Linked DNA regions of Oreochromis niloticus. The protein of the gene in region 4 purifies or fractionates together with the protein of the main gene of each other region. This does not show direct contact. Links are inferred from orthologs where the notes say so. Each region holds a gene or a part of one and is shown on either strand. Other genes may lie near its edges. The genes, in order: snap23.1, snap47, vamp3 and stx12.

Region 1 (7,219 bases), on a different chromosome or scaffold from region 4:
CGTTCACCAGTCATTATCAAAACAAACCAATGGTTTCCGACTTTTTTTCCCCCCGACCTTTTAACCAAAGCCTGTTGAATAGGAGAAGTGGAAACCTGACATTTTCAGGTATCAAAATGATGTTGCTTGCAGATACTGCATATATTGTGCTTACAGATGTGTGCTTATAGAGATTACAACTCATTAAATGTTAGGTCTACTTTGTTTCCTGTCTTGTTTGTAGATAAATCTACCAGAAAAACTGTGATAAGTTGTGGTGGAAAGTTTCCTCACATTGACAAGCCGCTACGAAGTTATCAAATCTGATTTGAGAAAATTTTTTAGAGCAGTGAACCATAAATGTAGAACAATTAATGCTTTAAAAATAATTAAGGATAAATGAATCCCTGCGTTAAGGTTTGGAAAGACCACAAAAAAAAAAAGAAAAAAAAAAGGAGGCTCAGCATTTTACATTACTAAAAATAGAGGATGCATTTAAAAGGTTAAGCATTTAAATGTGCAATCAATGTTCACCTTGTTTGTATCACTCATATGGAGAGGGAAAGAAAAGATGCAAAATCCAAACAAATCAGGCTCTTTTCCTTCCCCTGAAGGAGTGTTGTGAGTCTGGACAGAGCAGGCTTACTGATAAAGCATGTAAAGCTTAGCAGTGGGATGGCTAGTAGAATCATGTATGCCAACAATGAGGGAACTTGGATATGGAGCTTGTGATATGGAAATCAGAGGCGTGAGACTGGATAGTGACAACTGGCTGGAAAAACACTTATCATGCCTGCCTACTATACATAAATGCGAATTGAAATCACTGGTTATTGTTAGACATTTCAAGGTTGCAGATCAATTAAATAACCAGTAAAAGTGTATAAAAACAGATGAAATAAAGTCCTTTAGGAATATTCAGATGTTTAAGATGGTATTTACATTTGTTAACTTATTTGACTACAACTAAGTGATGAGCTTGTGATTTTCTTCGGAATTTTCAAAATGCAGTCAGTCTCAAAGCTACTTTCAACACAGAACTGTGAAAATGAAGTGCATAAATACCTAAAACATAACTGTTATGCTACATTAGAATAATTATATAACAGCAGATGCGCTCTATGGTTGGTTTAACACGAAACTAATGACAAAATGTGATTATAAGATAACAGGCTGTGCACTCACTAGTATCTTTATGGTCAGCATATGTACTGAAACACTAAATCAACTTAATTAGCAGAAGAGTATAACATCCATAAAATCCATGTCCTGTCATATATCCATAAAAAAGGTGCCTTGTAATGTGAATCAAACAACTTTCTTTCCTCTGTGTTAAACACTGAATTCTCAAGAAGCTTCATTGTCAGTTACCCAGTCACCAAAAACTGCTAATGCCTGAGAACAAAGTGACACACATAGCGGTTTTACTACTATAATCTTGGATGTGATTAACTCCCAGAGCTGATCACATCAGGACGCACAAGTCCATGTTTGCCAGCTCAGTGCATGCTCTGTTCAGATCAACATTCAGATTTCATGATCATGCACAATTTGTAAAAACAGCAGGCTAGGCATGAGGCAGCATCATCAAGAAGCTGTGAACAGCAGCAGGAAGAGCTGACCGTGTCTAGCAACTAAAACCCAGAAAGTGTGAAAACTGTCTGTTTTTTGTGCCCTCTGTAGTTTTCAAACAATGCAGAGCATGAATAGTTCAGTCAAAATAAGACAGATGAAAACAGATCAGAAGAAAATGCTTATGTTTGTTAGAGATCTAAAAACAGGATACATGAGGAACAAGCCTTTGCTGCTGTCTGCCAAATTGTATTGTGCATTTCAATGCAATTCATTTAGAGGAACAAAGTGTGTTAATTGTTGCAGTTATAATTCGGATCACATAATGACTGATGTTACCTCGTGCAGGAGTTTAGCAGATACAAATCCAATCTAAACAAAATTACTTTGTCAGGTGACCTTCATGCAGTCTTGTATCATGGGATAGGCTAAAAATGACTGGCGTAATGGCCTCAGACAAGCTTTGGTGAACAAGGCAACATTAGATAAAGCTCATCATAAGCAAAGAATTAAGCTTGTTTTCCTATCACTGTACTGTCAAGGGCAGAAGCAGTAAACTATAAAAACAAAGCTGAATCATTTACTCCAAGGCTAGAGTTTTTAGATGCAAACACTGCTCCCCCCCGCATTTTCCCTGTCATCTGCTTTTCCTTGTTAACGTCCAAGTGGCATTTTCCTGTTTTGCAAATAACCCCTGAACTACAACTTCCCTTTCAAACCTGCAGCCACTAAACATCCTGAGGGGGAAAGAAAAAAAAAGAAAGAAAAAAAAAAAACATGGATAGTCTACTTGGCAGACAGTGCAGAGGATTTAATGTTGTTGACTCTGCTTTTTCCCCTTTTTTGGACAAGAGTGCACTTTATTCACTCAGGCTTCACTGCCTTTTCTGACCGATTATTGGACTTGGCAAGACACTGATGTGACTTTACAACTATAACTATGAAGGTGGACTCATTTACACACGTACACTCTTTAGATAGCCACGACGAGGGCAGATGAACATGTCAGCGATAAAGAACGAAATGTGATAGTAAAAGCAGAGTTTTTTTAAACTGATAGCAATTTTTCTCCGTGTTTAGCCACATATGTGACTAGATTTACCAAATATATGACTTAGATATTACATTTCGCTTGTTTGCACCCCAAACTACGTACCCAACCCTTAAATTCGTTCCACAGTTAATATAACCAGAAAGATGTTAGTTCAGAGGAACAAAGGAAATAATACAACCGAGGCTAAAGAACATACCTATTCATGTTGCAGTTTCTTCACTTGACCAAGCACGAGTGGCAAACACCACACAGGGAAATGCGTTTCTTGTTCTTCTACCCAAACCTGTTCCTCCAGATTTGACTGGAGCACAGGTGGCGTCTTATTCCAATCACGTTGAACACATATCCTCATTTCACTCTTGATGTTTTATTTTCTTTAAACAATCAGACAGAAGCTATTGTTCAACGATTTGTTCTTACAGGCTGTCTTGAATAAAGACAACCTATTTATTTTGCCGAGGAGGAAGGTGTGTCATGTTTTGGGTAGGAGGGTTGACTAATAACAAACAAGGGGACCTATGACATCATACCAGACAAGCAAAGCCTAAACTGTGACATTTGATTCCACTATTTATATACGACAAAAGCAGGTTTTCCTGACTATCAAGACAGAAGACACTGAGGAAAATACGACATGTGGTTAATGATTCCTGCTGTAACACGTATCCACACACCTGACTGTGGTTAACTGCCAAGTGGCCACGTAACGTGGGTCACTTGATAAACAGGTGACGTTAGCCTGAATGAGAAACAAACCAAAAGTATTACAAGAAACCCCCGTAGTTTCAGGCAGTGTCCCACACCCAGTACACCATCGCTGGGGCCGAGAGGTTTCCAAAACAACACTTCTTAAACTTAATGAAAAAGTTACAAAAGAGGGAAAGACAAGTGTCAAACAGTTTATCAAAGCGAATTAAACTTGTCTTACATTGTCTGAAAACTTGCAGTGGTGCTCAGCTATCGCAAAGAGGGTAAAATCCGAGAGGGTAACTTCGTAAACTGGCTAATGTGCTGGCTAGCCTGCTAGTTAGCTAGTTCCGCTTTCTTGTCAACTACCTAACGCTAACACTCAAACAACTGTGTTGAGAGGAAAGTATAGGTAGATATTTATTAAGGGAGTAAATACTTACAGTTAACCCTCCTTGTTTTTTTTTGAAAAGATGACCTGAAAACTCCTCCTTCTTGACGGTATGTGAACTTGGCACTGGCAACTCCCGAATTCCTTCACTGGTTCCGCTGTCTGTCCGAAGATGGTGCTTTCATATGCTGTCGGAAATATGAAAACTCAAAACTTTCAACGATTTTGAGGCGCACTTCAACTTCACATAAAGGACCTTGCATCCCACGGTCACCCAGAACGATTTGAGGCACGGCATGCATTACTTCTCTTCCTATAGGTTTAACAATCTAAAACTGAAAAAGTAGTCTGGTTCTCAGGTAGTCAACTTTACACGAAAAGTTGACTTAAATATAACTGTGAAACTACTTGTGTTTTTCGTCTGTGTTTATCTTTTAGCTGCTGTATACTGATTTAACAAAATCATGAGACAATACAACTTGTGTGAAGTTACTTGGCTTCCACTTAAGATTAGTGTTTCTTTCTTGCTAATCAATTTTCTTTGTGGCCTTACTGTGCATCAAACTGCGACTCATAGAGAAGTGAGCGTTCCGTTAGCATTGAACGCAACACTTAATGATGCGCATGTCCTGTCATATGACTCCACAGAGGAAAAAGAAGAAAAAAAAGCGCTGCTCATTTTCCCCACATGAGTGCAGCATTTACCCTTCACCTGGACCTACCCCCCTCACCCCCGTCGCCCCCCCCTCTTCTGGGTATTTTACATGAAGACACACTGTTGGATATTTTTCATAGTGTTTCTAAGCGATGCTCTGAAATCCGAGCCTCAAGCAAAGAATCTGCTGTGTAATTCCCCAAGTTTTATGGTTTAAACCACAAAAGCCTTTTCAAGGTGACTGCAAAGACACCGGGCAGAGTGCCAGCCACAATATCAGCTGACAGTGTCTAAAAGGCAAGTTTTATTTTTCTCTCTAACTGGAGCTAAATATTTTCCCTGTTGGGTCACCTATAGCTAAATATGTACAAGCTGAAAAGCCTGTAATAGCTCCAAATTTGCACAAGGGATGCTCCAACGCTGCCCTCACCAAACTGGCCATGGTGCCTGAATGATTCTTAGCTCTCTCTGCCCATGTATCTTTTATAGAGTCTACATAGCATGCATTATTCAGCAATAACACACGGCCCATCTGGACTCCTGCAAATGTGTTTGTGCATGTGTCTATGTAAGGGTGTGGGGGTCCATAGTTAACTTTCTTGCTGTGCCATTTCACCATTTCACGCCACATCCAACAGTGCCTGAAGAGCTGAAATTATTTCTTCTGTAATTACAAGTAAGGTATAATGTGTGTGTGTGTGTGTGTGTGTGAGAGAGAGAGAGAGAGAGAGAGAGGAAGGTAAGGGCAAAGAATAGAAAGAGAAATATATTAGGTGAATGTGTAATAGTGACTGCAGATGGCACATTGAGGAACAAGCTCTTTCATCATCCTGTTCCTCATTAATAGAGATGGGAGTGCTGCCCTAATTCCATAATTCCTAAATCATGCTAGTTAGTTGAGTATGAGGAGACAAAAATACAAGGGAGAGAGAAGAATAGATTAGCCTATACCCTAATAATGTGTTTGAGAGCGCAAGGAAGCATCAGAAGAGGAGATGAAGGGGGAAAGGGAAAGAGGGGGGAGAAAAATGGAGATCGCCATCTGTATTTCCTCGGTTGCTTTTTGATTGTTGCCAAAACTAACATCATATAGGCCAAGTTTATTCTCGCCAACTTTTGTCCCATGTGTATGGCAGCCAGTGAAAATAGATAAAATAATCAAGTGATTAATTAGATCTGGAAGAGAATACATGGGGATATAAAAGAGCGTGTCTGAGCATGTGTGTCAGTGACATAGCCCTGATTTCTTGTTTCTCGTGATTTCAAGGAGCACATCTGTTCATTTCTGGCGCCGCTCCAGTTGGATCGTACATCCATCTTTCCTCGCACAAGGACCGAGACGTGGGAATGTTTCAAGGCCTTGCTTGATCGGGCTTAATTTAACATTAGGCTAATTCCGCTGATACCTGATACTTGTCAGGACAACGAATTGGCTGACCAAGCGTGCATCTCAATATTCAGAGATAATTTCATTCCCTCGTCTCCTTTTCACTGCAATCTACTCTTTCTCCATTTGAATTGAGCTCTCATGTGAAGCAATTTGAAGGAAACTAGAGACATCGATAGCCATTAGCCCGCTTTGCACAGGAGGGCCAAACATGGAAAGCCAAGGCTCATCTATTATTCATGTGCCTCAGTTTTCCCCCAAAACAACATTTCTGATATTCTTTTTACATCTCGCTGCCAAAAGCGACAAGTCAGTAGTTTCAAATAACGCTTTTAAAACAAAGCTGATGAATGTTTCAAGCTAGCACTAGCCCTTACAAACCCCAAAAGGAAAAGTTCCTATTGTATGTCTGGCTGTTTATGTCCGGATATGGGGAAAACCTAACGAGCTTAAGGAGGAAAGCAAACATTTCATCTTCACTTGTTAAACATTAAACTTTCTTGTTAGATCAGTCCAGCTGCAGAGACAGTGGAATGGTCACAATCTTCCTCCTCCAACCAGTAAGCATTACATCCATGTTTGTACAGACTTGACCTTTGACCTTTCAAACTCAAATGTTTATGCTTTTAGACATTTGTTAGTGTGTGGATTCTTGATTTATAGGCCAAAAGGTCTAGGAAGGGGTACAAAATAAATGTAGGGTAATAAATTGATGAATTCTACAACAATTCTTTTTACTTAGAAAACTAATTCTCATTGATTTACTTTTTGCTTTCTTTTAAACAGTTTAACAGTTAACACTTACTTAAATGACACCTTGTGTAAAGGGAAAATCATCATCAATGTTGGTGAAAATTAAAACAAGTCATAAACAAACGCTCAAAGTTTCCACTCAATTCCAGCTTATAATGTTATAGAATTTAAAGACAGTCTAAAAATAGAAGTAAAATATTAAGACACACTGTTGTGAAATATTAGGGACTTGAGATAACCCCCTACTGAGATAAACAGCTGTAGACAGTTGGTCAGATGCCATAAAACCAGTGTAGAAGAAGACATCATAAACAGATGGTGCAATTAAAAAGAGCAAATTTCAAGTGAATTTTGTTTGTTTCATGTATTATTTCTTTAATCTATTTTAATGTAATTTAACTCCTTCTTGAGCCACCTATCTGAACATTTACCCACTCCAAGTGTTGGTCTCGTTTAAAGCTTGAGTGTAATATTTCAGCTTCAGTTTGCATTCTCATTCATTTCCACCTTTAAAAAAAGAAGGCAAGTGCACAAAAATGCACTTAGAAATACTTGAAATCTATCTGGACACAGCTTTGTGTATAGAGGAGGTCTTTCTTCTATCTGTGTTTTGCAAAATCAGAAATCTAGTGGAGTATTTTCCTTCTAAAATGTAATGCAGTTTAGACCATGGAGATACAGTAAAGTGCAAGTGCAGTCAGTACATGAGATCTCCTTTTATGCTCATTTCTAGCTCAGTGT
Region 2 (7,612 bases), on a different chromosome or scaffold from region 4:
TGATCATTTAAACATTATATGATTAAACAAAGAGCAACTTTCTGAAAGTTTTACATGAAAAATCCTAGTCTAAGCAACCTGTAATAGCGATTCACACACACATAAAAAAAAAAAAAAAACCTTGCTCGAATCACGGGTCTGAATTTGCGTCACTGTGTAGGTCTTGCCACCACAGACCGTGTCTGTAACAGCATTCAGCGCTGTGAGGTTCTGAATGGAAAGACATTGTAGGTTCTGACCAAATAACTAACCGTGTTTCTTTTCCTCTCTTAAAACCAGGATGGACGTTGGTTTGTGGTCTCACCAAATAACATTTTAAACATACAGGATGAAAAATAAAAAAAAATCATTATGATGAATTGTGGTTTGGACTGGAAACATCAAAATACATGTTGCTGAGACTCTGGGATTATTTACAATAGCAGCTACCCCTATTTGAATCAATCTGTTCCCGGAGCACACTGGCTTTTCATTTGTGTTACTTGTCTTGTGAATACAAATATGAAACATTTTAAGGCCAGGGTAGTGTAGTCATAAATTTGGGAGTCCAGCTTTTCTCACCTGTTTGAGTTCCTGGGCCTCAGCCTGACTGACAGATGGCTGGAAAACATGCACCTGCAACTGGGACAGCTCTCCTGCGGGGACCTCCAGTGGGAGCTCTGTCTCTTGGCACGTCTGCAGTAAACCTGATTCCATGGGTGGAGATGGTGAAAAAGTGCAGAGTACATATGTTGTTTATGAGGAAACCAGACAGTAAACTCAGAGTACAGCAACTGAGGCAATCAGGGTGAAGTGACTCATCAAAATACATTTCTGTCAAGGAGACACCAATAACCATGATGAAATGTTTTTACATGTGGCTGCACACTTATAAATACACATAGGTGGAAATGCAGACCTTTACTGCCACTTAGTGGTCAAATCTATACTAGGCATGGAAACCACTGTGGAATAAGAGTGTCTTTATTTATTTTTTGATGTGTTCCTTACCTTCAGTCCAGCTTTTCCCTTCTGTGTCACGTGGCGATGAAACTGGAGTTGTCTTAAAATCTGTGTATTCGCTTGTGAACTCTATCTTCTTTTTGTACTGCATCTCTAACACGGACAAAGCCTCTGGCATCTTGGCGGACAGGAGCCTGTAACATATGTCTGGCTTCCCGATGAAACGCTGCCTGACGGTAATCTCATAGGGGCTGTGCACCCTGATTTCGTCAATTTCATTTCGCTCAAATCTGTGAAGGAGCTGGCAGTTTGTGTTTCGCACCTCCAGCGAGGACACTAGCACCAACAAACATCCAGGCTTCAAGTCCGATTCTCCACCTTTGGACAGCACTGCTGGGATGCTTGTGATTAACTTATTTCTGCTGGAGTACCTGGCTGCTGAAGAAGAAGCAGCAGCTGCAGCTCTCGCAGCATCCTCGGCCTTTGCATCCTGCTGGGTCTTCCAGGGGAGTTTACCAAATGGCCACCAGGAAGGAGACTCCAGTTCTGACAGAAGTCTGTAATACAGAGGCAGGAGGAACTTATGTTAGTCATAAATTAGGCCTTGTTATAGAGTTGGCCAAGCAATATGAACAAGACATGTGCAAGACTTCAATAACTAAAAATATCTTAAGATAGTTACTTGTCAGCCACGCCCAAGTCAGAGTCAATCTTCTCCAGGCCCTGCATCATATTGTCAAACTGCTCTCCCTGATGGCCGAGGACTCTGCCAGTGTCCTCCAATCTTTTCTGGGCCCCTGCCACCAGGCTGATAAGCTCTCTTCCCTTTGTAGGCTGAGCCTCAGCCCGCTGGGCTTCTGAGCTGGGAGAGAGAAGCCGCTCTCTCCAGAAATGCTCTAACACATTATAAACCACCACCCTGTTGGGCTTAAGGGAACCAAACCAATGTTTCACGTTGCCTTCTTCAAGTACTGTGAGAGTGCTGAAGATGAAACTAGATGACTCCATCTTGATCTCCACGATCCTCGAGAGACGGAAGCTGGCAAGACTCTCCTTGCTCTGGTTGGAGACGAAGCGCACCGTGGTTCTGGTGAGAGACAGGGTTCCGTTTTCCCACCGTTTCTCACTGTTGATGTAATAGGAGCCTGGCCAGCTGTGGATGGGAACGTCCCGGCTCATTGTGATTGAAGGAGATAAGACAGATTCACCTGTCAGGGGGACAAACAGGTATCAGTTTAACATGACAACAACATACACACAGGTACTGCTGCAGGTTAAGATGAAATTACATCAGAAGCACTTTGTACTGAGTGATCTACGAGTCGTGATGAAGAACATACTTTCTTTTGAGTGTAGTCCAGACAGCAAGATGAGCTCAGTCGAGGCGTTCACACTGGCAGCTTCAGCTCTCTAGCCAGCTGACCGCATTACGCGCGCGTCATTATAATGTTATAACCCTTTTAACGTGTTTTATATCCTCTCGGTGCAATTAAACCCACACCACATTAATCGTCAACACCGGGCTGGGCATTACGTTACCTCGTAGTCCTCTCAGTAACTTTCCTGTTTGTTGCGGAAGTGACGTCACGCTCGAGCACGGCTGTATTTACCGTCCGACTTGAAAAAAAAAAACTTGCTGTCAAAAAAAACGAAGCACTATTGCGAAAATGTCTGGCGAAAAATAATGACAGCGGCGGCGGTTTCGGCACTTTCCAAGCGATACGAAAAACATAACGTTAATATAAATATATTAAATATATATATGTATGTATCGTGACAAAATATAAATAGCAACGGTTTTATATGTGCGTCGTTCAGGAGTCCCAACATGCGCTAATGTGTAGCGGCTTGTCATATTGGAAAATTGCGTTTTTTCTTAGCTTAGTATCTTTTTCTAGCTTAACCTGATTTTCAAATGTGGCAGAAACGTGAGAATACGTACGCAGTGTAATGGCGAATTAGTCTTCCAGTTAGCTTTTCCCCTCACAGTTCCCCTGCTGTACAAACCCTGACAGCTGAGCTTGCTAAATAACTAGCCGAGGGCTTGTTTACCATCATGGATAGGGAGGCGTACCGTAACTGCAGCAGCCTGGTCAAAATACCAAGGCAGTCATATGAACAGTTTTGGTCTTCGCATTTTCTAGATTACATTGACAAGGAGCTTAGCTATTCCAAGTTTTTCAAGAAATATCTGCTCCCCAATCACCCTTGTATGTTTTCAAGGAGATTCACAGAGGAGTGGAAGTGTAGGAAACAGTGGGTGACTGGGGATGGGAAACCTAATTTCCAGAAATTGCTGCAAGAGTTTGGTAAAACAAACAAACAAACATGCATTACTTTGTAAATGTCTGCAAAGATATTCTGTAATCATTCTTAATAACTGTTACTGTTTCAATCACAGATGAGACTCCAGTCCCTGTTGCAAACTGCAATGCGAAGGAGTACAATGCCAACCCCAAACAAGTCATGCCTTTCAAAGAATTTATACACTACTGGAGGGAATACATCTTGAATGGACACTCATCACCCAAAGGATGCCTCTATCTTAAAGACTGGCACATGTCAAGGTATCACAGTAATATTAATCCAATGAAAAATGTTTACACAATTGTATGAAAAATGTGTAACTATCCTTTGTAAATTTCTCCACAGGGACTTTCCAGAACATAATGTTTACACCACACCAGTGTTCTTTACTTCTGACTGGCTCAATGAATACTGGGACACCCTTGAAGTGGATGACTACCGATTTGTCTACATGGGACCTAAAGGGTCATGGTATGAAAACATTATTTTAAAAAAACTAAACAAAACATAAGCTTACATAAAATGTTTCATGATCCGACCCAGTGCACTTTCTTGTTACCAGGACACCATTCCACTCTGATGTGTTCCGTTCATACAGTTGGTCTGCAAACATCTGTGGCAGGAAGAAGTGGCTCTTGTATCCTCCAGGTCAGGAGGAGTTTTTACGAGACACTCACGGCAACCTCCCTTATGATGTTACGTCAGCTGAACTTCGAGACAGAGGCCTTTTTCCACACGCTGAAGAAGCCTGCCAACCTCTTGAAATCATTCAGGAGGCAGGAGAAATCATTTTTGTGCCTAGTGGTTGGCATCATCAAGTTTATAATCTGGTAAGAGCTGTAGAGGCATATCTACTGTTGAACTAGAGGAAAATGGTCTGCCAAGTATTATAAAAGACAAGTTGCATTTCTTACTATGAGAAGTGTTCTGTTAGACTGAATGTAAACACCAGCCACAATGTTAGGTACACGTGTTCAGCTGCTTGTTAACACAATTATCTAACTCAGTGCATTAAGGCATGTAGACATGGTCAAAATGACCTGCTGAAGTTCATATTGAGTATCAGAATTAGGAAAAAAGGCCATTTAAGTGACTTTGAATGTGATTGTTTGTTCCATACCGGCTGGTCTGAGTATTTCAGAAACTTTTCCCAGCTTACAGAGAATGCTCTGAAAAACAGAAAATATCCAGTGAACGACAGTTCTCGATGAGGTAGCACTAGCAGCAATTCAATTAACCACTCGTTAGAAACAAGTTTTACAAGAATAGCACTTCTGAACTTAAAACATGTCAGACTTCGAAGTGAGTGGGCTACAGCAACAGAACACCATGCCTGGCCACTCCTTTGAGCTAAGAACAGGAAACTGAGCCTACACTTTGCACAGGCTAACTGGAAATGGGCAATTGAAGATTAGAACAATTTTGCCTGGTCTGTTGAGTCTCAATCTTCTGCAGAGAAATGCAACAGAGCATCTGTCAAATGTAGTACAATGGGAGATTTGCATTGTAGATGTGAAGCAAATGTGCAGTTCTGGTTTGTTTTAAGAGTTTTTTGTGTTTTCTGTGTGTGAACAGTGTAGACAGTAGAGCGCGAGGGCTAGCCTACAACTCAGGTGTCTAATAGTGTTCAGATCTCATCAGGAAAACGAATATTGATGAAAGGAAGTGATAAGTTCAGATGCCTACAAATCTAATGGACTGGATTACTTACTACTCACTAGATGACAAGAGCCCTAATAAATTTTTTTTCAAATTAGATTTTAAACAAAATTCATGTTTTGTTTAACATTACACACATGTACAGACACACTCATGTTTCAATACAGCAGCTCTGGTTTATCTCCTCCAGTCAACATATCTTTCATAAAGTTTAACCTTGTATATATTTTTTGGTAGAAATATGGCTTTTTGCAGGAAATTATGACATCACAGTTAATTTACGTTGTATAACACTGCGTTTTATTTATCACCAGTTTGACATATTAAAACATTGTTTCATACAGGAGGACACCATCTCCATTAATCATAACTGGCTGAATGGTTGCAACATTGACATCATGTGGCAGTTTCTTCAGACTGAACTGTCATCTGTTCAAAAAGAGATAGATGAGTGGAGAAACACAATGGACTCGTGGCATCAGCACTGCCAGGTACAATGCATGGAACATTTCAGTCATGTCATTTAAATGTGCTTCTGCTCTGATCATAATAGCAATTGCTGGGTGTGTTTCCTTTTAGGTAATTATGAAGGCTTGCTCCGGTATCAATTATGGAGAATTTGCCTCGTTTTTGAAAATCATTGCCAACAACAGAATGGCTTTCCTTAACGCTTGCTCCTCTGGGGATCCCTCCGATTACTCACGTCATCTCTCAGAGATCCTCACCACGCTGGGACCTTACCACGCGGCCTTTGACCTACAAAGAGTAGCTCATATAATCGAATGCCTCCTGTGCAATGAAGACTTTAAGCGACTCGATCACTCAACATTGACTCTGCAGCCAGAAACAATGTTACAGCAAATTCGTGACACCATACAGTCCACAAGAGGGCAGCATCTCCTTTATCAGGAGTAATGTGTTCAGCCTCTCACCATTGTTATCGCCTGGAAATAGCTTGAATGAAAAGTGCCCGTTTGCAAAAGTGCAAAAAAAAAAAGATGATTACATCTGTTACCGCATCTTTGGGTTGAGATGAACTGCAATCTCAAATATTGCTTGTGAATGTCTTGCATTTGTTTTTGCACTGACAGATTAAATACATAAAAAAATCTGAGTTTTCTCTTTTAAATATTTATTGAATAATCACCAACACTATTTGTGTCCAGTATGAACCAAGCTGCGATAAATCTATAATAGTGCATAGTTAAGTGGTAAATAATACTTAAACAAAAAATCCAAAACACACACAAACTTGGGCTTTATTGCAAAAAAAAAAAAAAGATACCCAAACATGGACTAGTGCCACACAGCTGTTAAGCAATGACAGTGTAACATACTGTACTTGAGGGTTATGTCTATGAGAAGTCTGTCAGATGTGATGCATGTCATTTTTAGGGAGCTTTAAAACATCATTCCCTTCAGTTACATTTCGCATCTTCAGGCCACCAGTCTGGCACAGAGGCTTCGAGTGTCACTGTAGTGTCATCAGAAGATCTGAGCGTCAACACCTCTTTGGCGTGCGCCATGCGGATCAGACTTAGACCCAGTTCTCCTGTCCCTGCTCTGTGCTTCCCAGCTGGCTTGCCTGACTGGGTTAGCAGTGCCGTTCCTTCCTCGAGGTGTTCCACTGGAGATGACAAGCGTACTGGCATCAGGCGTTTTCGAATCACACCAGTGTGATGAGTCCTGGCTGTGAGTTCCTGGCCAATGTAACAGCCCTTGCTAAAGCTGATACCCTGCATGTAGACAAGATTGGACTCTAGTGGAAATGCAACCCCAGGAGGAAGGTCTTTGACTCCCTCAGGTAGACCTAGACAACGAAAACAGCAAAGGACACAAACACGCGTCATAAAATTAGAGTACTTTTTCAGACGAATAAAAGCTTCTCAGACCCACCCCCTCCTCCTTTTCTGTCTCTGCTTATCTGTCTGTTTGTTAGCAGTCTAGCATCCACAGCTTTCAAGATATCATGTTTAAATTTTGTGTGATGGTAGATTCAATACCATCTCGAGCTGATTTTAATTTTGGTGAGAATACAGTAAAGGTCACACCAAAACTAAAAATCAGCAAAAACTTTATATTATCCCCAATTTTTTATAGATCATTGTCAAACTTCGCAACAATATTCCAGGTCTTGGGGGACACTGAGGTTGGCTAAGCATTTGACCTCAACCTTCATTTCTCATAGCCCAAGGTCAAAGTTGACCTAGAAAAGAAACTGGAAATAAAAAACCCATAGAGTATAACATATCATATGAAAGTGCATGGAGAGAGCTGCACGATACTTTATTTTTTCAATACAACACCCTACGACCTCACAACAAAATCAGAAGGTTTTGCAAAATCACCCACTGCATGAATTTATCTTCAAGTCTCAGGATCTAGCTTATAGAAGCGAAAGATTTCAGCCAATTCTGCTCTAATCAAATGGGTAAAGATCAATCATTCCATTATCTTATTCTTCTTATGTTTTTTTTTCTAGAGCCTATCCCAGCTACGATAGGGCGAGAGGCAGTAAGTAAGTAAAATTTATTTATATAGCGCTTTTTAAACAGGAAGTTTTTTCAAAGTGCTTCACATGGGAATAAAAGCATAACAAATGAAACAATAAAAATGGTATAAAAAAGGTATAAAAGCATATCAATCGATACAATAAACACTATAAATAGGGTAAAATAGCATATCGAATAAAACAGTTTGCTAC
Region 3 (7,288 bases), on a different chromosome or scaffold from region 4:
AAACACAAAAAACAAACAAGCAAACTATTACAAACTGTAGATATAGATTTCCTGCAGCTCCTGCTAGTATCAAAACTACACTACAGCATCAGTGGTGGGCTTTGTTCTCTAATATGTAAAATGGCCTGAACTTACCCACAAGTACAGACATAAAATTAGCCTCAGATTCATGTAATATTCACCAGAGCCAATTGTGTTTGTACCATTGTGCACGTGACTGTTTCATAATAATTTTAAATTGATGGTTGCATGCTCACTATGTGCCATCTACATACAGCCCACTTTCCTGTAAATGAAAACACATTTTTCCTCAAAGAGGGTCATGGCAAGAGCTGTGACGCCATTTAAAAAAAAAAAGAGCATCTAATTTATGCACTTGGGAAAAAATAAAAATAAAAATGCTGGATCCCTTGGGTAACATTCTCTGGCTCAGTTAAAAACAAAGTGATGTCTAGCTAGGATACAATGAAGGTAGGTTTAATAAACAAATGCAGTAAACGCTCTTCTCTTTTGTTTGGTTTGGTCTTTGTATTAGTGAAGAGCAAGTGGGTAAAGAGTGGATTACTAAATGTGTGTTATGTTTAAACAAAAAAAAAAAAAAAAAAATTTGGTCAATACTTTTAATTGAACTCATTTTTATGTATTCAATTCTATGAGTTTCTATCTTTGACTTTTTTGGGAAAGACGTAAATAATGAATAAAAATCTATTATTGTTAATTAGTTTAGCAATGTGCATTGGTGTGCCTATGTTTAGGTTTATGTAGTTTTACATTTGTGTTTAGGTATAGCAACCTCTGCCATTGCTATACCCGATTCTCTTTCACGCCAGGGTTCACGTGAAGACTCTTTAGTTGAGCTATGTAGGTCTGATACCATGTCTACACATACCTCTTTTCTACTAATGCTGTGCATGTGCCTAATCTACAACCACAGAAATAAATACTGGTGCCAGTGCCAAAAAGCAGACACTCGCATGTCACCACTTTGCTGGTCCCAAATTGGGAACAAGTGATGATAGTGGCTTTTGAAGGTGTAACTAAAAAATTAACCAAATGCAGATGCAGCCTAGGATCTTCCGTCCACTATGATTTTCCTTTCCATTTCAATGAAACCAATTTAAGCTACAAGTTCTCAGTTCTGTTGTAATGTGCAATGGTTCTCAAAAGGCAGCAAGGCAGAGCTGGCTCAGCACTGCCTCAACACACCCATGTTCACCAATGCATTAGAATAAAAAGACAGGAATCAAGATGCAATTTAAGTCCCGCCTTTCAGCCTCAATTTAACTCACTGAACAAAATTTACAGATAAATTTTATTTTTGCTTTATTGTGTCATTTGAATTAAGTTCCCATTTGACCATATGTTGTGGATTCACAGCCACAGTTTCCAAATGCAAATGTTAGAGTTGCAAGCAATCAACTACCAACCATACTGCTGATTGAATGATGGAGAAATATTAAAACAACTTTGGAGTAAATTGTCCAGTTACATTTGAACCACTTCAAATAAAGGACTGAGTCCAGAAACTGTGATCGTGGTTAATTGAATGTTCTTGTTAACCCTCTCGCATTAATAGATTTATTTTATTTCAAATCCATTGTAAATCTACTATCCATACATTCCGGGACCTAAGTTTATATCATCATCACTGTTGTATCTATACTACTGAACCACTACCATCAAGTAACATCATGAAAGAGAGACTTTTATGGTTTAATCAAATCATCACTCAATTTCAGAAAGACATGCAAATTCTCTGCCAAGGATTTTTTTTTAATATGGACAAAAATAGTTGTGGAAATCTGTCTGTGATTCATTACAAAAACACCAAGTACACTGCCTCTATGTGCACTGTATAAAGAGCAAGTAGGAGAAATAATACACAACAATATAGCGCATGCCCACTTTTATGTAGTGAGACTCACATTTGTACCTTTTTTTAATAAATTAGTTCAAAAAGAAAAAAAGTTTCCTCTGTTGATGCTGTAAGGCAATACACCTTCCCAGAAAGTAAACACTCACGAAACACGTCTCTTACCTTGTTCTTTCATTACCCATAAGCTTCAAAGCGCCTACTAATACACATATTGACCGAGAAACACACAGAGTACAGTCCCTAACTGTGTCAACAAAGAAAAAAAAAAAAAACAGTAGATGCTGATGGGATGGAAATAACGTTAGATAACTTGCACCCCGTTGTCGGTAATGCCGTTATTACTGGAGTGGAAAGTATTCAGCTTAGATATAGTTTAACACTTATTTTAATTACCCAGTAATCAACATGATTACGACCTATTAAAAATAAAACACTTCGGCCATTAATACATTTCCTGTTTACAACTTTGGGTTGCCTTTGATTGTGTCTTGCTATTATTTTAGTCATATCCAAATTAGAAATCACAAAGGGACATACACAAACATTTTAAGATTTTTTTTTTTTTTTTTTTTAAACAAAGTATACAGGAGTAGCTTGTAGATAGGCCAACGACACAGGAAACGGTAGTTTCTAAGCATAGACTAAAACGCTAGCACATATCGTTGTCTAACAGTAAGATTTGTGTAACAGTAACAGCTGTGGCCTGTATACAAACCGATTGTGTACGCTCTTTCTTGACTACCTACATAACTAGCAAAGATAAGTTGGTATGACGAGGAGTGAGCAACGTTAGACAACTTTAATGCGGCGTTGCTGCTGTGGCTAAGCTAAGTTTAGCTAGCTCACGTCTCGAAGACGAGCACTAGCACTTGTTGCAGGGTAGTAGCAAAAGTTCTGGGCGTTGTTTTTGCGCCCGCGTCCTGAAGTATTACCAGAAAAAAAACGGAAGCGAGGTCATCAACATCTGACTGACAAGTAAAAATTTGTGGTATAGGATAGACTTACATTGTGAAACGAAATTTCCTCAAACGACACCGCTGGTGATTTTTGCCTGTGAGCTCACTGTCAAGCCGTAACAGTCCCAGCCGTACCAGCGGTTTTTGTGCCGCTTTCAAGGTTGCCGGAATTAGGAACAATCACACGTATTTAAATTTCACAAGGTAAACGCGTACTTTAATAAAAAAAAAAAAAAAAGAAAAGAAATCTCAGAAATTTCTTTTCAAATCGATATCGATACAATAATATGTGACAATAAATTTTAATAACCCATTTAGCCTGGTGACTAACCTTTAGTTGACTACATTTAGCATTTAAATCAAAAAATCAAAGAATTTTCCCTGCAAACTTACAGTAATTACATAAACTTTTACAGTACTAAATTATTTTAAAGAAATAAATTACAAAATTGGATCATACTATCTGGTAACTACTTTATTTGGTCAAAGTATGAGTTTGCGGTGAGCACGTGAAGGCAACATTAAAGAGGTCGTGGCTTATAGCTGCCGCATGCCTACCATTATTAACGCAAAATGTGAAAAGCAACGCACACTTCGCACACCTTAGTCAATAACCATTAAAGAGGTAACGCCTCAAATCAGTCTATTTTCACCTTTTATTTATTTAATTTCTATTTGCAAACTACAGTAGACAGGCAAGGAGCAGGCGACCACCCAAGCCCGTGATCAGCATGTGACTTATGAGAACAAAAACTCATCCCCATCCACACGTCATTAACAACCACTAACCACCAACAACTGAAAAAATAGGAGTACCGACACTTTCTTCATTCAAACTGTTAAAGAGAGTATATATGTGTGTGTACGCATGTATAGTAGATTTATATGAAACATTTAGAACAAATCGATCTTTAAGTGCTTCCTTAAACTGTAAAAACTGAACGCAGTCTGTTTTTGTGTCAGTCACTGAGTTGTATTATGTGGTTTAAGAGAGCAGGTGCTAATTCCCTAAAATGCTTTATTAATGGATTCATATCATACAAAACTAATGCAAAAACAATTCTGCAACAACACAACAGTGGCCTACACGAGTTTAATTTATGACAGAGTTTACCGAGTTTACTTCTGAAGGATAACAGCATTAAAAATTTACATTACACAGTGATCAAAATGCACAATGATATGTGTTTTGGGGTAATCAAAGGCCACAGGAAGGAAACAATAGCCTATAATTTACTTAGCAACAGAAATGATCCCATTACAGTTGTGTTCAGAAGTTTACATACACTCATCATGGGCATAAATGTCATGGTAATTTTGGGCTTCTAATGATTTTTTGAACTGGTCTTTCTCCAGGGTGAAATGATTGTACAGAATACATCTTTATTGAGTTTAAGAAAACTAGAACTGAGTGCATATGTTTGATTTGTTTGTTTTTTCTATAATCCACACAGGGTTAAAAGTATGCATACAGGCTGGAAGATGTCTGGAAGATGACCCAAACTATCACGGTCTGGGTGAGTCACGGTATTTTCTCCAGCAGCAGCTCTCCTCCTCTGGGTAGAGACTTGTTGCTCCTCCCTGGCTACCCACCTTTGGGCAATTACTCCAGCAGTATACAGGATCGACACACTCAATTAGTCCTCGCCAGATTATCTGCTAACCAATGTTAGTCTGTGGCCTCACATTCTTTCGATTAAACTGTAGTATGTGTACTTACCTTCCTCTCCTGTTTCATAGCCTGTTCTCAGAGCTCACATTTCACCCATTGCCATACTTGCTTACCTGGATCCTGGTCTCCAGCTGCTGGTAAAACCTCTCAGTCTAATTGCCATTCTCACCTGCCTGCCTCCCTGCGTTCCAGCGTCATGCTCCGTGCTCACCTGGATCTCAGACTCGCCCCTGCCCCCTCCTGCCTTTCTCCAACTCATGCGAATTTAAATTCATAGTCACAGTCTAGTTTGAGTTTGTTCCCTCCTTTCTGTAAATAAACATCTTTGTTAAACTTGCTACACGCCTCCAGTTTTGGAATCTGCACCTATGTCCATCTCTCTTCCTGGGCCGCTGAGCCATGACACACGGTCAGATGTGAGGAAATTGGTTAGGATGTTTTGAAGAACCCAGGAATCATGAAGGCTCAACCCTGCGATGGACTGGAAACTGCTTGAACACGAGCCTTACTGTCCACAGTGAAGTGAGTTTTACATCGCCTTGAACTGAGAAGATGCTAACCAAAACTGGCACCTTTAACCTTGTCTAAAAGTTGTGGATGCACACATGGACAAGTCAAATACCATTTGGAAAAAAATGTTTGGACCAAGGGGCAGGGAAAGATTCTTTACAGAGCTTGTACGCTGGGATTATCTGAAAGAGGCCTCTGTCCCTGAGATCTACAAATCCCACATCGTCATTCCACCTGCAGTCTATGGACTTTGCTACAAATGACAATGAGGTCACAGAACTATCAAGAACAAGTGAGCTTGTTAGGTTAGGGTAAAGACATGGAACCACCAAAGGGCAAGGATAAGGTTCCCAAGGAGACACCTGGACAGGGACTTGAACCCTGGACCCTCAGATTAAAAGTCTGATGCTCTTCCATCTGAGCTAGCCAGGTAACAAGAGCCACGTGTTTGTCCTCTGGGCCACATATTGTCTTTCTTTTCTGTAAAAATGTGAACGCTTATCCTCTCATTTTACTGTAGGTACTGGTGAGGATTTACAGTTAGATATTATTAAATGATCATTTCAGACAAGAGCCAAGGCAAGGATTTAATTCTAGGGGAAACATCGCTAGGCTGTATTACCACGTGTGACCACCCAACCTACAAAGCCCTAGGAAGTCAATGGTATAATGGGTGAGGACTGGGAGCGTCTGGAGGAGGACCTTCTTCAAATCCCACCTCCACTTGATGGACGTTTGCAAGCTGCACCATCTGTGTTTGTTTTCCCATTTGATGGGAATGATCCACGTAGTTGTAGGCCGTATAATGAAGTCCTACCAACAAACCCACCATGCCCTAGATGGTGACCAAAAGAGCTTTGCCGAAACCCAGGATCGAACTAGGGTCCTTTAGATCTTCAGTCTAACGCTCTCCCAGCTGAGCTATTTCGGCACATTTTGCAAAGGAAAGTGCTCAAAAATTGCATTGTAATGACCAGTCAGGTCTACAGCTGGCCAAACCGCACTACAGCTGACCCACTGAGACAGTGAATCAGTGTGAAGTGAACTTTTAAGCTTTGGATTTAACAGTGAACTGTCATGAACTTTGCTCTCTTAAATGTTGTCCCACCCAAAGTAAGATAGAAAAAAAGTTAAAGTGAGATTGGCATGTCTTGGACACCGGGTTTAGCAAAGGAGCTGAGCTGAGAACCAACTGGCGGTGAGTTGGACCAAGGGGCAGGGAAAGATTCTTTACAGAGCTTGTACGCTGGGATTATCTGAAAGAGGCCTCTGTCCCTGAGATCTACAAATCCCACATCGTCATTCCACCTGCAGTCTATGGACTTTGCTACAAATGACAATGAGGTCACAGAACTATCAAGAACAAGTGAGCTTGTTAGGTTAGGGTAAAGACATGGAACCACCAAAGGGCAAGGATAAGGTTCCCAAGGAGACACCTGGACAGGGACTTGAACCCTGGACCCTCAGATTAAAAGTCTGATGCTCTTCCATCTGAGCTAGCCAGGTAACAAGAGCCACGTGTTTGTCCTCTGGGCCACATATTGTCTTTCTTTTCTGTAAAAATGTGAACGCTTATCCTCTCATTTTACTGTAGGTACTGGTGAGGATTTACAGTTAGATATTATTAAATGATCATTTCAGACAAGAGCCAAGGCAAGGATTTAATTCTAGGGGAAACATCGCTAGGCTGTATTACCACCTGTGACCACCCAACCTACCAAGCCCTAGGTAAGTCAATGGTATAATGGGTGAGGACTGGGAGCGTCTGGAGGAGGACCTTCTTCAAATCCCACCTCCACTTGATGGACGTTTGCAAGCTGCACCATCTGTGTTTGTTTTCCCATTTGATGGGAATGATCCACGTAGTTGTAGGCCGTATAATGAAGTCCTACCAACAAACCCACCATGCCCTAGATGGTGACCAAAAGAGCTTTGCCGAAACCCAGGATCGAACTAGGGTCCTTTAGATCTTCAGTCTAACGCTCTCCCAGCTGAGCTATTTCGGCACATTTTGCAAAGGAAAGTGCTCAAAAATTGCATTGTAATGACCAGTCAGGTCTACAGCTGGCCAAACCGCACTACAGCTGACCCACTGAGACAGTGAATCAGTGTGAAGTGAACTTTTAAGCTTTGGATTTAACAGTGAACCGTCATGAACTTTGCTCTCTTAAATGTTGTCCCACCCAAAGTAAGATAGAAAAAAAGTTAAAGTGAGATTGGCATGTCTTGGACACCGGGTTTAGCAAAGGAGCTGAGCTGAGAACCAACTGGCGG
Region 4 (6,918 bases):
AAAAGTCAGCAGTAAAATATCCTGATTTTGAAAGCAAAAATATCTCAGCTGTATGTGTCCATTTGTTAAGCTAAACTCTGCAGTTGTCTCAAAGTAATTTTTCCTTCACCACACATGAAATGTCAACGAATGATGACATACTGTACACACTGTGTCCTGAGTGTGTGTGTGTGTGTGTGTCCTGAGCCACAATGTTGGCTGAATGAAATTCCAATTAAACCAAGTGGGTCTGTCAGCATCACTCAGCCTGTGCTGTAAGAACAGGCTCCATAGTCACACTTTCAAACTTAGTGTGCATATTTATCTTACAGTTTGACATCATCCATTGTTAGGTGGCTGTAGCTCAGGAGGAGGAGCAGTGGGAACTTTGGATGGGTGAATGAGGCATGTTGTAGAAAGTGCTGTGACTGTAAGCTATAGAAGAATCAGTACAGTGCTACTTTCATTAGGACATGTAAACGAGTACTTACTTGCTCTGAAGGCGATGAGGGCAGAGGGATTGATCCCAGCTCTTTCAGGTGTTTGTTGGTTTCTTTTGCCAGTTGGTTGGTGTAGTGTTGTGTCTGCTGCCTGTGAACACCAACAGTTCAAACAGCAGACAGACCATAAGACCTTCTAATAATTACACAAATACATTTCTTATAGGACAGTTCAACAGAGTCGCTACAGCGTGGCAGCGCTGGCTCTGAGAAAGTGAAGGTGACTGAAAGTGTGTTTGTTTAGCAGAGGAGATGATATCGGTACATACAGCCGATCCTGCAGTTCACTGGTGTCCTGTCTGGTCCCCAGCTGGTTCACCATGGTCTTTATCTGAGCCGCTGCCATGGGAACACAATGATAGCACTCAGTTTTGGAAGAAAAATATACAAGTGACACAAGAAAGAAGCTGCACTTTGTTCCTGGTAGTTATACAGAGATGACATCATCTGTAGTCATCACAGTTTGATGCTGCTTCTTAATGTTCACATTTGTGTCAGACACGTGTGTTTGCTATGAGCCATCATCATCATCATCATCATCATCAGTGTGACCTGAAACAGAAGCTGAGGGATTTCAGAACATACACATAAACAACGATATAAGGAAGTGAAAAGTACCCAGTGATGATCTGGCTGTTGTGTTCAATCGCTTGTACAGTTTTTCAGGTGTATCTGGGTGATTCTGTGTTTGTATTTGTTGTCCTGGCCGGGTCACTGCTTAAAGCCTCTCACAGAAAGGACACGCCTTAATTTGAGAAACTGTTCATTTTTCGCTTGTGTGCAGACTTTGTGGGTAAACAGGTCATACAATTTATTGCTTGCAATACTTTTGTAAATCTTTCCCAAAAATATTACAATCAACATGCAGTCGGACATTGTGGGCATGAACATGTATTCATATTCAATGAAAATCCTGCTGCAGCTTTCACATATGACTCAGTCCACACCCTGTTAAAGGCGACAGGAAGTGTCGAGGAAGGTGCCACTTTTTTACTTGAGTTATAATCTGTTTACACAGTGGCAATAAAGAAAAAAAGCCTCGAACACTTGATGAAGTGCTCTAGGAGAGGGCCTAATGAAGCTGGATGAGAGAATAACGTATGTGAGGCTGTTACAGGTAAATAAGCTCCTTTGAAACTCAACACAAATCCAGCTTTGGTGTCATTCTTTCTCACAACATAAATATTGTGTCATAGTTTGGATGTCTTAACAGTGTTACACACTGGAGAGAACACTAATAGAAATTTCTGCTACTGCACAGTACTGTGGAAAAAGCTGAAGTGAAAGCCACAATAGTAAACCAATAAAACAACAAACAACTGTAACAAACACGTGAGCTGTAAGAACAAGAAAATCTTTGGTCTAAAAACAAGTTGGCATTTAAAAAGCCTCGAGCAGGGGTGTCAAACGTATGGCCCGTGGGCCACATCTGTACACGGACACACAGCTGGAAATGTCACAGATTCTGAATCTGCAGGTTTCATGTCTCACTGACCAAAATTATCTGAACCAGCAGCAAAAGAAGACGTTTGGAAAACACTGTCATTAATTTTGTCTCACCTTCGCTGTGTCGGTTGCACCATGATAAAAATAATGGTATTCTCTGCACAGCTCTGGCTCTCAGCGTGCTCGGAGACCAGTTATTTATGCTTTTTTACTACTACAGTTAAACACCCCCCACCTCAGAAACACCGGTCTTCTTATATGGGACCCTTTCGCTGTTACAGAGTACAGCCACATCACACTGCCGTTTCAAAGGAAGTGAAGCACTTACTGTTCTGTGTGATCTTCTGGATGTTGGAGCTGCATGTCTGTATCAGGGTGCCGAAGTCCCGTGGGACCGAGCGGCTCTCTGCTTTACCATAGGACATGTTTGTGATGGAGCCTTGGACCTTAAGCTTTGGCTGCAGAGAAAAAGAGAGGGATCAGAAAGCACCGATTCGGTTTCACTGTATGACAGCTCCTCGGTGCGGTTCTGGGGTTTGTACAGCTGCATGTCTCAAAGTCCGGGTACAGTTATTGACGGCAGACCGGAGCTGAAAATAATGGCACTTAGTCGGAACAACAGCTGTTAGCTTGCTAACGAGTTAGCTAGTTTATCTGGGCGTGTGCCAGCCGACGCGCAGCCATATTTGGGAACGTAAGCTCTTATTAATTTGGTGTGTTCCTAAATCACCAAGCCAGCGACCTCGTCGGGCTTTTTCTGTTTATCTCCCGGGTGTTGCAGGCTGCTGGACGGGCTCGGCTCCTCGCTTCCTAGCTTCGGGACACTAATCTGTCAGCTGTTGGTTGTTTCCGGTAACACAGTGTGATGAATAAGACAAAGAAACAACATGGCGTCGCTGAGGCTGGCGTTTACCGTGGAAAAGAAACCAGCCCATACTTACTTATGAAGCTGTCTGAAACGAACACATAGGTTGGTAAAGCTTCTCGTCCTGTAGTAAATACGCTGCTCTTCCTGGTCCGTGATATCACTGCGTCACTTCTTCTTCTTCTTGGCATTTATTGGAGGTTGCAAACAGCGAAATGGTGCATTAGCGCCACCAACTGGAGTGGAGTGTGGCCCAAACTTTCCCTCATCAAGCAAATTAGTCTGTCTTAACTACTTAAGTAAAGAATGGTGTACTTTTGCCACCTCTGCTAAACCACCCATCATAGTAGGGCTCACTACAAATAACCCCTCCACCCACTCCACCCGCCTGCACTCTCTTCTTCACCTCTCTTGTGCGCTGTCTGTTGCTGTGGATGGTTGACCTGAGGTATTTAAACCACCTTCACTCCCTGTATTTCTTGATTGTTCACCTGTCTCCCTCTCACCCACACAAGTATTCTGTCTTGCTTCTACTGACTTTCATTCCTCTTCTCTCCAGAACAAACAGTTATCTGTTCAACTTAAATGTTTCATATCACCAAACAAATGTTAATGTCAGACAAGTATAAGTAGACTAAATACAGCACACTATTTTTAAATACTGGCCTACCATAATTACTCATGAAAGGAACAAACACCAGGCCTCACTTGCCTCAGCTTAGGTGTTTGTTTCATGTTTTCACAAGTTCAGCTGAATTCAGTCCAGTTTTATTTATACAGTGCCAAATCTCAACAGCATGATGAAATGCAGAGTGGTCTATAAACACATGAAAAAGGTAAGTGAAGAAGAAACACTCATGGAAAGCCCTAATGACCTATTGCAGCATAGCTAAGGAATATTTCGATGTAACCCTCCTGAATCCAAACTGGATTTCCTGTGAATCCAGAGTATTTTCCACTTGGATTCTTTATGCCTGGTGGAAGTATCCCAGGATCACAACTCCAGCCAGCCTGCGAGGGGTTTCGGGCTCAGGCCACAGCTGGTCCATCAGGCAGCGGCCAACCAGAAGACCTCTCTTTAAATGATTATCAATCATGGCTCCCGGGCTGAGCTACCACCCTTATGTTGCTCTGGGGCTGTGATTGGTTGGTAGGACGCAAACCTGCCACAAACCTCTGTGTCAGTGTCCATTCACTGACAACAATGAAGCAGAATAACTAATGAGCTCTGTCCACACTGAGGTCTCTTCCTCGCTCGATGCTCAGAGCAGCTTTGAACATGAACCTTGTGGAGGCTGAATGCTGAGAAGGACAGAAGAGGAGCAATGATCTGACACAGAAAGTGTCCGTTTATGCTGTCCTACCAAAGAAGACACGCAGCAGGAGAGCACAGAAGAAACTGGCTGTCCGTTTGACTTTTTTCCTCTTTTGGATTTTGGGGTTTTGCGGGTTGAGAAGCTTTAACAGCGAGGACGCTGGAGACCAAAATGAAACTAGTAACCTTCCTCAGCTGGCTCACAGCCTTCTACAGTTTCAGTAAGTAGACCTCGCCTTCACCTGCACTGGCAGATATTCACACATTATGGTGTGATTGCTGCTCTGTCCTCCTATGAGTTTCTAGACTGATATTAGTTCAGTTCAGTGTTGATTAATGGGCAGAACATTTTGTCATTTGATAAACAAAACTACTCCTCGGTAAGTGCTGCTGTTTGTTTGTCCTTAAGTTTCATAAAGACCAGGCCTCGTGTGTTTTGACCTGCACAGGCTGCAGGTGGACATGAGTTTTGTCTTGTTTGTACGTGTACACGAGAGTCACACGGTGTAGAAACAGAATTATCCCACTCAAAGCTGGTGAGTGTGGAAGTGAGTTCATCCAAAAGAGCAACAGCATTTTATAAAACATCACAATATTAATAACCTTTATTTCTCACTGCAGATGTTTATCCATCTCTTACTCTGACACCATGTGCAGATCTCACTGACAGTGAATATCTTTATCGTTTTGGAACAAGAGCCCAGCCTGTCTGACGATAATATACCGATGATATAACTAAACCTGTTTCAGACTTGATGTAAATTCAGTGACCATTATTCCAATTTTCCTCCCACCCACACATTTTCAATGCTGATGGTTCAGCGTTGAATGGATATTAGTTTGGTGGGGGTGGGGGTGAATTATTGGGGTTCCTCTCCACTCTACGGAGTAATATGGGTGGTGACTGTTAATATTCCACAAACAAACATTAGCCTAAGCAAGGCTCTTTGTATTCACAGCACATACATTTCACATAACTGTATTTCTACACATTCAAAATAGGATTTCAAATAAAACTGAAAATCTAAAAGAAAAAATGCAGTTTTCATTTATATTTAGGTCATGATGTAGTAACCCCGCCGAGCGAGCAGCAGAGCTGGAGACAGAAAAAGTTTGTTTTTGGGAAAAGCACAGCAGGTTTAAAACAGTTTGTTTTCTGTCCTTAACTCAGAGCACAGAATGAGCTGAGAGTCAGTGACCTCTGACCCTGTGGAGGGGGTCGGCTTTCAGGGTCACCAGAGAAGTCTGTGGGGGTGCTCAGTCTTCACTGACCTCACCCTTACACCTTCATCTCCATAACACTGCAGCAGTCTGTGCTCACATTGAGCCTTTATTAAAGATATGTGACTATAAGGTAATCCTCCTCCAGCTGCCTGTGACCATGCCCTCCACCACCCTCCCCCTCACGCTCCTCCGTTCATCCCACTGGTTTAATCCACAACAATGGGTCTCCGGTGGCTCTGTTTCCTGCAGTGAAACATACAAAAGCTAACATCTCAATCTGTGGAGAGCTCAGGCTAATGTTTACAGCACCACAGTGTGCCCTGCCACCGTGAACGAATGCCTTCATGGGCCCAGTTACTCTCATTTACTAGTTGGCCTGTTAATTGTTTTACATATTTCTATGCTGGAAGAGTATCACAGCTGTGCCACTTAGTATCAGAGACAGCAGATAAAACGCTGCAAAGCCGTCTTTCAGCTTCAGCATCGCTGTTTGAGAAGGTGTAGCTGTGAAACACGGTGCTGCTTGTAACGAGCACAGAGGTCAGACAAACTCTTTCTACCAGCAGGTCGTGTATCTGTGCATGATGACATGAAACAGGATCACAGTCAGCTTCATTTACAGCTTCAGTTAAAAGCCTGTCTGACTTTGGACCATAATAAGGTTTTAAAAAGCTTCGGTCCCTCGTCTCTGTCGCGCTGCTCCTGGATCAGACCTGCTGCTGATGTTTTCAGCACAGATGATGGATTTCACAGGTACCCCTCATTATACAGTTAATCCTCCCTTTCACAGTAAAATATCTCTTCCTGTCTGAAAACACAATTATTTTGGAAGATATCCACCGATGTGATTGAATGAAGCTGCTGAAGCTGAAACACGTCACTGCATTCCAGTTTCTGTTTGTTTGTGTCATGTTTATAACACGAAGCAGGACAACTAGGAGATTCAGCTTCCTGAGTATTTCAAGTCTCCTGATTTCAAATTAAAGAATGCATTTATTTTATAGAGATGCATCATCATCATCATCATCATGTAGGCTTCAGTCTGACTGTGGATGAGCACTGTTGTGTTGGAATAAACAAAGCTTACTGCAGCCTTCATGTGTGAACACAAACCTTATCAAATGTGACTACAAGCTGAAGCTTATTGATTGACTTCCTATTAAAAATCGACCCCTTGAATGCAGAGCCCCCAGGCCAAGAGGCCAGGATCAGGCTGCACATAGGTAACCTCAGCAGGTTAAGAAATATGTAGATAATCTGATGCTAACTTTGAAATCCACTGTACTGTTTAGACAGTTTTCATGTCACATAAATGTACACTGAGTGGAGTTTAAGGACTCCACTGAGGTCTCGTTATGCGAGAACATTTTGATTCACGACCTCGACATCGATCCTCACTTGGTTAAATGTTGTGAGGCTGTTTTGCTGAACTGTGGAAACACTTACTCTGTGATCATACTCTTTAGCTGCCTCCTCTGCTCGTTTAAGTCTTCCGGTGTTGCTGATTTTGGTAAATGGTCCTTATATCTCACTTTGGTACTTCAGCACTCAAAGCTCTTACTACACCACGTGTCATTCACACAGACTCA

Evidence for each region.
Region 1: the proteins of stx12 (region 4) and snap23.1 purify together in Homo sapiens (affinity purification with mass spectrometry; 3 studies listed by BioGRID and IntAct, counting the BioPlex papers as one, with this or other methods). This does not show direct contact. The link is inferred for Oreochromis niloticus from reciprocal best matches to the Homo sapiens genes STX12 and SNAP23.
Region 2: the proteins of stx12 (region 4) and snap47 purify together in Homo sapiens (co-immunoprecipitation; 3 studies listed by BioGRID and IntAct, counting the BioPlex papers as one, with this or other methods). This does not show direct contact. The link is inferred for Oreochromis niloticus from reciprocal best matches to the Homo sapiens genes STX12 and SNAP47.
Region 3: the proteins of stx12 (region 4) and vamp3 purify together in Homo sapiens (affinity purification with mass spectrometry; 3 studies listed by BioGRID and IntAct, counting the BioPlex papers as one, with this or other methods). This does not show direct contact. The link is inferred for Oreochromis niloticus from reciprocal best matches to the Homo sapiens genes STX12 and VAMP3.

Annotation. Positions count from the first base shown.
Region 1 is NC_031983.2:19,368,606-19,375,824, forward strand, and holds the start of snap23.1 (synaptosome associated protein 23.1), read right to left. Parts: upstream 3,005-7,219; 5' UTR 2,810-3,004; coding exon 2,802-2,809; intron 1-2,801. UniProt on the Homo sapiens protein: Essential component of the high affinity receptor for the general membrane fusion machinery and an important regulator of transport vesicle docking and fusion.
Region 2 is NC_031982.2:19,266,268-19,273,879, forward strand, and holds the start of snap47 (synaptosomal-associated protein 47), read right to left. Parts: upstream 2,999-7,612; 5' UTR 2,885-2,998; intron 2,513-2,884; exon of another isoform or gene 2,283-2,512; intron 2,151-2,282; 5' UTR 2,122-2,150; coding exon 1,625-2,121; intron 1,500-1,624; coding exon 991-1,499; intron 687-990; coding exon 562-686; intron 1-561. Other genes in the region: 2-oxoglutarate and iron-dependent oxygenase JMJD4, read left to right, coding at 2,999-3,251, 3,344-3,509, 3,595-3,720, 3,812-4,079, 5,253-5,399, 5,488-5,823; iba57 (putative transferase CAF17 homolog, mitochondrial), read right to left, coding at 6,327-6,718. UniProt on the Homo sapiens protein: Plays a role in intracellular membrane fusion.
Region 3 is NC_031970.2:25,721,412-25,728,699, forward strand, and holds the start of vamp3 (vesicle-associated membrane protein 3), read right to left. Parts: upstream 3,017-7,288; 5' UTR 2,884-3,016; coding exon 2,882-2,883; intron 1-2,881. UniProt on the Homo sapiens protein: SNARE involved in vesicular transport from the late endosomes to the trans-Golgi network.
Region 4 is NC_031985.2:38,176,169-38,183,086, forward strand, and holds the start of stx12 (syntaxin-12), read right to left. Parts: upstream 3,024-6,918; 5' UTR 2,867-3,023; intron 2,384-2,866; 5' UTR 2,351-2,383; coding exon 2,254-2,350; intron 819-2,253; coding exon 749-818; intron 571-748; coding exon 471-570; intron 1-470. Other genes in the region: si:ch211-57n23.4 (immunoglobulin superfamily DCC subclass member 3), read left to right, coding at 4,278-4,326. UniProt on the Homo sapiens protein: SNARE promoting fusion of transport vesicles with target membranes. Together with SNARE STX6, promotes movement of vesicles from endosomes to the cell membrane, and may therefore function in the endocytic recycling pathway.